Macaca fascicularis: one gene and its partner. The protein of the gene in region 1 interacts with the protein of each later gene in a pairwise test. Links are inferred from orthologs where the notes say so. Each region holds a gene or a part of one and is shown on either strand. Other genes may lie near its edges.

Region 1 (3,912 bases):
GGAGTATGCGCATAGGTTACATGGAAACACTAGGCCATTTGATACAAGGTACTTGAGCATCACAGGTTTTAGTATCCACGGGGTATCTGGGAAGGACTACCTTAGTTTGCTCAAGGAATGTCTGACTTGAGATTTGAAGAAATCAGCCCTGGCAAAAGCCATGGTGGGGGGTCACTCTAGGCCGAAGGAATATCAAAGGAAAAGGCTCAAGAAATAACTTGGCATATTTGAGGAAGAGAAAGGAGGCCAATGAGGAGGGTATCTGGCAAGGAAACAAGTGGTAGGAGAAACAGGAGAGGTAGCAAGAGCCAAAACACGTAGCATCTTGCAGGCCAGGATAAGACAACTGGGTTTTAAACTAAGAGCAATGGAAAACCAAGGAGAGTTTAAAGCAGGAGCATGGCATGATTTTTTTTTTTTTTTTAAAGATTATTTGCGTTGCTGGATGCAGAGCTGGGAGGCCAGTCAAGAGGAAACTGCAGTCACTCAACTGAAAGGTGATGGTGACTTGGACAGGGGTTGTGGCCATGGAAATGAAGAGAAGTGGACAAATTTGAAATACAGTCTGAGGCTGAACTGACTGGACTTGCTGACGGGACTGGATGTGTGCACATAAGAAAAAGGTGGACTTTGTTTTATAACAAGTATTGGGACTGGAAAAACGGAGGAAACCATAGATTTGAAGGGGAAGACCATGAGCTCTGCACTGTCCACGACAAATGTAAGAAGCCTATCCAATATCCACGAGGGGAAGTCAGGTGGGATCCCACTGTGGAACTCTGGGCGAGACTCAGCTGAAGTTATCATTCGGGAGTCAGCACACTGCATCACTCTACGTCCTGGTCCGTCCGTCCGTTTTCCTGGGACACAAATAACTGCCTTCTCCGCGTTCAACCCTGAACATCTGCGCTGTATCCTCTGGACAACGGGGAGCGGGAAAGAAGCTACGCAGGAGCTTGGGTCGGGCGAGGCTCACGGGAAGCCGCTCTGGGTGCAGAGGACAAAGGCGCAGGGACAGCGGGGAGGGCCGGCCGCGGCCTGCCGTGCTGCCCCCACTGCGCGGAACGCGCGCAGCAACCTCCACCCGGCCTCCGCGTCTGGACTCCCGCCGCCCCTGCCTCTGGGCCTCCTCCGCCCACCGGCAGAGTCTCCCGCGAAGCCCGCTGGGCCACGCTCTCACCCTCCTCCTCCTCACGCCGGGTCTTGCTCTTGGCCTTGGACTTCTGGCTGCGCGTTTCGCGTCCCCGCGGCTCCCCGCCGGCCGCGCGCTTCCGAGCCATATTGCTTGTCGGGGAAAAATCCACTTCGCGAGTGACGCACCAGGCCGCGATGCGTTAGAACGCAGGCCCCGCCCCGAGGCGGGCGCGTCTGGCCGCGCCCCTTCGTTGGAGGCCTAGTCACGCCCCCAAAGGAAGCTCCGCCCCATACCCGTGGCCACTAAAAAACCGCGGGAAGCAGGCAAGAGCACAGCAGGTTTCTATTTCCGGTGTATTGTAGCATCACGTTTCCGGAGCTCGGCGTTGCTCTTGTGTTCTCGCGAGAGGCGGGAAAGGGCGCAGGGTTTGAAACATGGCGGACGACGTAGACCAGGTGAGTGAATTTTAAGGCGGTGGCTCGGCGCCGCTTCTTGTACTAAACTGCTTTTTCCAAACGCAGGAAAAATGGCCAGTCGCGCCTCTTCTTTCCAAGTCACACGGCCTAATCCGCCCCATCCTTTCCGTAAACACCCCTGTCCGAATTTTGCTGCAGGCCCTGAGGTCTTTTCCGTTAGAAGGCCACCTGATGACTATTCATCACACTCTTCGCTTTGTTTTTTTAAATCTGTAAATTATTATGCGTGCCTACCTCACGGAGCTGTCAGGATTCCAATAGAAAGCCAGATAATAAAGTTAGGAGTTGTTATTACTGAGCACAACAATTATTTACTCATTCAGCAGAGAGAGTGAACATCAGCTTTGTATGGTTAGACACTGTTCTAAGAGCCAGGGACACTGACATCGATATATAAGTGATCCTTGCCATGACTTGGAGCTTATATTCGCGAGGAGAACAGATAAATATAAATATGTAAGATTTATAGGAACTGTGATGTGCTATGAAGGAAACAAGGAACTGGTATGCAGAATAACAGATGGTCCTAGAAGCTTTTTCACCTGGTCTTTTTCTTCCTCAAATATCTTTGGAGATCATGCTACAACTTAAACTTTCTACTGAAATCTCACCTCCTCAGAGAGGACTTCTGCCCAAATAGCACTCCCCCTACTCTGCTTACCCTGCCTCATTTTTCTTCATAGAACGTTATTTTTTCATATTAAATGTATGCATCTTTGTTTAATGTGTATCTCTCCTGACTAGAATGTAAGTGCCATAACAGTAGGCATTTTGTTTTGTTCATTCTTTTGTCCTTGGGGTTTAGAACAGTGCTGGAAATACTCAACAAATATTTGAGTGAATGAGTTAGATGATCAGAGGAGGCCTCTTTTAAAAGCCAATGTATAAAGCTACAGGATGAAAAAGAACAGAAAGTGGGCATCCCAGACAGAGGCTTAGGTAGCAGTAGAGCTCTGTCATGTGCATATTCTTACAGTATTATAATTATTCATATGCCTATCCACATTAGAATGAGCTCCTTGAGGGTGGAGATTGTGACTTCTGTATCATTGTAATCTAACAGTTGGTTATCAGATCCTTTAACAAACACCTGTTGAACTGAGGGACATAGGGACCAGTTGAGTTAGGTTATTTTTTTTTCTCTCATCGGGCCTTTTGAATCTTTAGCGCCTGTTACGAATTCAGTTACCTTCCTCCACTGGCCTTGTGTGCTTACTAAAGAAGCTCTCCTTGAATCATCTAACTCTTTAATGGCTGCAACCCTCCCTTCCATGTGGGTGACCCCAAGTCATCCTAGCCCTGACCTCTAAAACCAGTGTTTCCAGCAGTTCTTTAATAATATAATATTAGTAGGAATCTTTTCTTTTCTTTTTTTTTTTTGGATGGAGTCTCACTCTATCGCCCAGGCTGGAGTGCAGTGGCGTGATCTCAGTTCACTGCAACCTCTGCCTCCTGGTTCAAGCGATTCTCCTGTCTCAGCCTCCCAAGTAGCTGGGACTACAGGCACGTGCCAGCACGCCTGGCTAATTTTTGTATTTTTAGTAGAGACGGGGTTCACCATGTTGGCCAGGCTGGTCTCAAACTCCTAACCTCAGGTGATCTGCCTTTCTCAGCCTCCCAAAGTGCTGGAATTCAGGCCTGAGCCACCACGCCCAGCCAAAAGGAACCGTTTCTAAGTATTAATATTTTCTGCTTTCCTGGCACTGTTTTAAATGCATTAACTAGTTTCATCCTCATAAGAATCCAGAAGGAAGGTTGTGGCTTTCTCAATTACAAATGAAGAATCTGAGAATTACAGATGGCATGATTTTTAATCTCAGTTCATAAGTGTCAGGTCACAGCCAGGAGTTGAACCCAGACTGCCTGACTCCAAAGTCAGTGCTTGCTTGCTTGTTGGCACCATCTTGGCTCACTGCAACCTCCACCTCCCAGGCTCAGGCAATCCTCCCACCTCAGCCTCGGAGTAGCTGGGACTACAGGCGCATGCCACCATGCCCGGCTAAGCCAGTGCTTTGAACCAGTGTTCTATTCTGGCTACTAAATATTCATCTTACTGGCCAGTTGGCAGCCTAACCTCAACCTGTGCTGAATTCATAATCTTCCCATAAACCTACACCTCTACTTGGCATTCTGACTAGTATATGGTAGGCATTAAGTGAGTGTTTTTCCTATGATTACATAATATTTGAGATAAAGCTAAAGTTCCTAAGACCCTATACCCTGAAATCGGGTCAGGCAGTTTGGATTTTGAGGGAACAAAGTATAGTCATGATTATTTTGCTGTGTAACTCCTTCTTATGT
Region 2 (3,912 bases), on another chromosome or scaffold:
TTGCTGGAATTCAAATCCGTAGCCGTAGGCCAGGCATGGTGGCTCCCACCTGTAATCCCAGCATTTTGTGAGGCTGAGTCGGGTGGATCGCCGGAGGCCAGGAATTCAAGACCAGCCTGGCCAACATGGTAAAACCCTGTCTCTACTAAAAATACAAAAATTAGCCGGGCATGGTAGTGTGCACCTATAATCCCAGCTGCTCCGGAGGCTGAGGCAGGAGAATCGCTTGAATCCGGGAGGTGGAGGCTGCAGTGAGCCAAGATCATGCCACCGCACTCCAGCCTGCATGAGAGAGACTCTGTCTCAAAAAAAAAAAAAAAAAAAAATCCATAGCCGCCTGGCTCCAAACCTCACACCAGGTGTACATTAGAATCATCTGGCGAGTTTTTAACTCGACCTTCCCCACCCCAGATTCTGATTCATTTGGTTAGAGGGGTGGGCCCAGATTTCCTATTTTGTAAAAGTTTCCAGCCGGGCGCAGTGGCTCACGCCTGTAATCCCAGCACTTTGGGAGGCCGAGGTGGGCGGATCATGAGGTCAGATCGAGACCATCCTGGCTAACACGGTGAAACCCTATCTCTACTAAAAATACAAAAAAATTAGCCGGGCATGGTGGCGGCACCTGTAGTCCCAGCTACTGGGGAGACTAAGGCAGGAGAATGGCGTGGACATGGGAGGCAGAGCTTGCAGTGAGCCGAGATCACGTCACTGCACTCCAGCCTGGGCGACGGAGTGACTCCATCTCAAAAAAAAAAAAAAAAAAAGAAAAAAAAGAAAGAAGAAGAAAAAAAGCTCCCCAGGTAACTCCAAAGTGCTGAGGGGTACTGGTTAGAAATGCATAATCTCAGGTCTCTCCCCAGGCCTGTTCTGAGATAATCCACTCCTTCACTGAGTGGCTCACTGCCATTCTTCCACACTGACTGGAAACAGACTCTGCATTTCAACATGACCCCGTATGTGAATTAGATACACGTGAAGGTTTGAGACTCAGTGCTTGACACCAGTAGTTCTCATACATTATCAGAATCATCTGATACATACAGTGTGTATCAGAATCATCTGAGGGGCCTGTTATCTCAGCTTGCTGGGCCCCACTCCCAGTTTGACTCAGGAGGTCTGAGGTGAGGCCAGAGAGAGTCATTTCGAACATATTCCCAGGTGATGCTGATGCTGCTGGTCAGGGGCCCACACTCTGGGAACTATTGGTCTATACCATGCAGCTGTTAGGTAAGTAGAAATTTAGGTAATGAGGCTGGGCGCAGGGGCTGACGCCTGTAATCCCAGGATTTTGGGAGGCCAAGGGGAGTAGATCACCTGAGGTCAGGAGTTCAAGACCCACCTGGCCAACATGATGAAACCCAGTATCCACTAAAAATACAAAAATTACCTGGGCATGGGAGCACCTGTAATCTGTTACTTGGGAGGCTGAAGCAGGAGAATCGCTTGAACCCAGGAGGCAGAGGTTACAGTGAGCCAAGATTGTGCCACTGCACTCCAGCCTGGGTGACAGAGCGAGACTCTCAGAAAAAAAAAGAAAGAAAATAAATCTAGATAATGAATTGGGGGGGGGGGAAACCCAACCGGTAGTATATAAGGTACATAGGTTTTGAAGGTAGAGAAACCCAGGCTGGAATCCCCACTCCACCCCTAATTATGTAAACCTAGAAAAGTTAATGTCTCTGAACCTGTTTCCACATTTATTAAACTACAGGCGAAACAAAGCTACCAGAATCACACTCCACTGAAGGTACTCTCCTTTGATTTCAACGTACCCCGATATTGTATTAGTGCACTAGGTCTTACCTATCCCTTATTTTCAGACCCTGAGTTAACGGGGGTGCAACGCTCTCTCTTTACGACCTCACTCAGCATCCCGTCCAGGGCTGTGCAGTGTGGCACTGAGCGTGGCAAGCTAGACTAGGCCAGTGATGAGCGGGGCTGGGAGCTAAGTCCTTGGGCAGGGCCTAACGACCAGCCACCAGGCTGCAGCCTGACGAATCTGCGATCAAGCAAAGGTATGGGGTTGCTGCTGCGACTGCAAAGAGCAATCACTAGACCTCGAGTCAGGCCCGGGTTCTAGGACAGGCTCTGCCACCTTCTAGGAGGGAGACCACTTAGCAAACCACTTAGCTTCTCCAAGCTAGCTAAGCTACCGGTAAAACGGGATGAGCACCCCTTACTCAGAGCAGCGGGAGCGGGTCTGGGGAAATGAGCTATACTCGGTAAATGGGGAAGAAAACGCTTCCTGGGCTCCGGCACCTCCTTCCGGAGGTCCTGGCATACCCCACATTCCGCCCCGCGGCTCCCTGCACCGCCGACCCGGACCCACCACGCGACATTCCTTCCGCTTTCCCCGTCTGGGTCGCCGCCGAAGCTAGCGGGCGCCTGGACGGGCTGCCTCCCGCCGGCTGCAGCAGGACGGAGAAACCACGCCGGCGACCGGGCCGCTCTGTCCTCCCGGCGCAGAGTGCGTCTGTGCTCTGCGAGTCATCGCGGCACGGAGAAACTACGATTCCCAGAATGCTTCGCGGCGCGGGGCTCGCGCTCAGCAAATGCCGGCCTGCGTCATTGAAGTCTCCTTCACTAGTCGTTCATTCACTCCGCACGCGTTCTTGAACGGGCACCCTGGGCCAGGCTGCTTCCTAGGCTCCGGCATAGAGCAGTGACCAAGATCAAGTGGCTCCCCGAGCTGATGGCGCTGCAGGGGAGAGAGTCTTAGGAAAACAAACAAGAAAAATAGGGAAAAAGTTCTTTAGAAGATTGAAAGTGTGACGTGGTAGTGACTAGGTGGTCTTTTATTGGATTGTCAGGGGTGTCCTGAGAAGGTGACATTTGAGTTGGGATTAGTGACATGACGCCAAGCTTGTGAAAACTATGGGCGGAGCATTGCAATTAGAGGGAACAGTTTGTTAAATAAAATTTATAGGAGGCAGGGCTGGGCGCGGAGGCCCACACCTGTAATCCCAGCGCTTTGGAAGGAGAAAGCGGGAGGATCATTGGAGCCCAGGAGTTCGAGACTGGTCTGGGCAACATAGGGAGACCCTGTCTCTACAAAAAATAGAAAAAATTAGCCCACTGTGGTAGTGTACACCTCTGGTCCCACCTACTCGGGAGGCTGAGGCAGGAGAATTGCCTGAACCCAGGAAGTGGAGGCTGCAGTGAGCTCAGATTGTACCACTTCATTCTAGCCTGGGCAACAGAGCAAGACTCCGTCTCAAAGAAAAAAAAAAAAAAAAAAGGCAGCCATTGGTTTGGACAGGGCTCCTGCACCAAGCCCAACAGACAAAACCAAAATGGAGTCACTCATGCTAAAGTTCCACATCACCAAGTGGAAACTAAGTTGCTTATCTGATATTCAGATAAATCAGAAGAGTGAGAGATACTTAAATCTCCAAACCATCCAGTTTTAGCTGGCAGGATAAGGAAGTCCCCTCTGCTTTAGCCTTCAAAGTTACAAGGAAAGTAACTTTGAAACAACCAATCTGCTTTTTGTTTTCTGTTTCTGCTTTCCTCAGCCCTTTTCTGTCTGTAAAACTAATCTCCTCTGCTCAGCTTATTTGAACACTCATTCCGTTTTATAGAATGAGATGTTGCCCAATTCTAGAGTTGCAAATAAAACCCAAATTTAACAAATTTAGCAAATAAAAGCCAAATCACCAATTAAAAGTCAATTTTTTTCTTTTCACAATTCATGCAAAGAACCTGGGGGAAATGACCTTGACAATTTAGGAACACAGGAAAGGCCAGGGAAGCTGGGGAGAGTGGTATAACAAGAGACCAGAGAGGAAGCAGGAGCCAGAGCATATAGGACTTTGTGAGCCAAGGTAAGGAGTTTAGATTTCATGGTTAGGAGTGCAGCCTCCGGATACAGTGCCTAGGCTCAAATCTGCTCCTGGCTGTGACTGGGCAAGT

What was found.
Region 2: the proteins of LSM3 (region 1) and LSM10 interact in binary tests that used the Homo sapiens proteins (3 or more experiments, as listed by UniProt). The link is inferred for Macaca fascicularis from reciprocal best matches to the Homo sapiens genes LSM3 and LSM10.

The regions. Positions count from the first base shown.
Region 1 is NC_088376.1:152,442,768-152,446,679, forward strand, and holds the start of LSM3 (U6 snRNA-associated Sm-like protein LSm3), read left to right. Parts: upstream 1-1,528; 5' UTR 1,529-1,569; coding exon 1,570-1,590; intron 1,591-3,912. Other genes in the region: XPC (DNA repair protein complementing XP-C cells), read right to left, coding at 1,181-1,280. UniProt on the Homo sapiens protein: Plays a role in pre-mRNA splicing as component of the U4/U6-U5 tri-snRNP complex that is involved in spliceosome assembly, and as component of the precatalytic spliceosome (spliceosome B complex).
Region 2 is NC_088375.1:198,523,285-198,527,196, reverse strand, and holds the start of LSM10 (U7 snRNA-associated Sm-like protein LSm10), read right to left. Parts: upstream 2,476-3,912; 5' UTR 2,284-2,475; intron 1-2,283. UniProt on the Homo sapiens protein: Appears to function in the U7 snRNP complex that is involved in histone 3'-end processing. Increases U7 snRNA levels but not histone 3'-end pre-mRNA processing activity, when overexpressed. Required for cell cycle progression from G1 to S phases.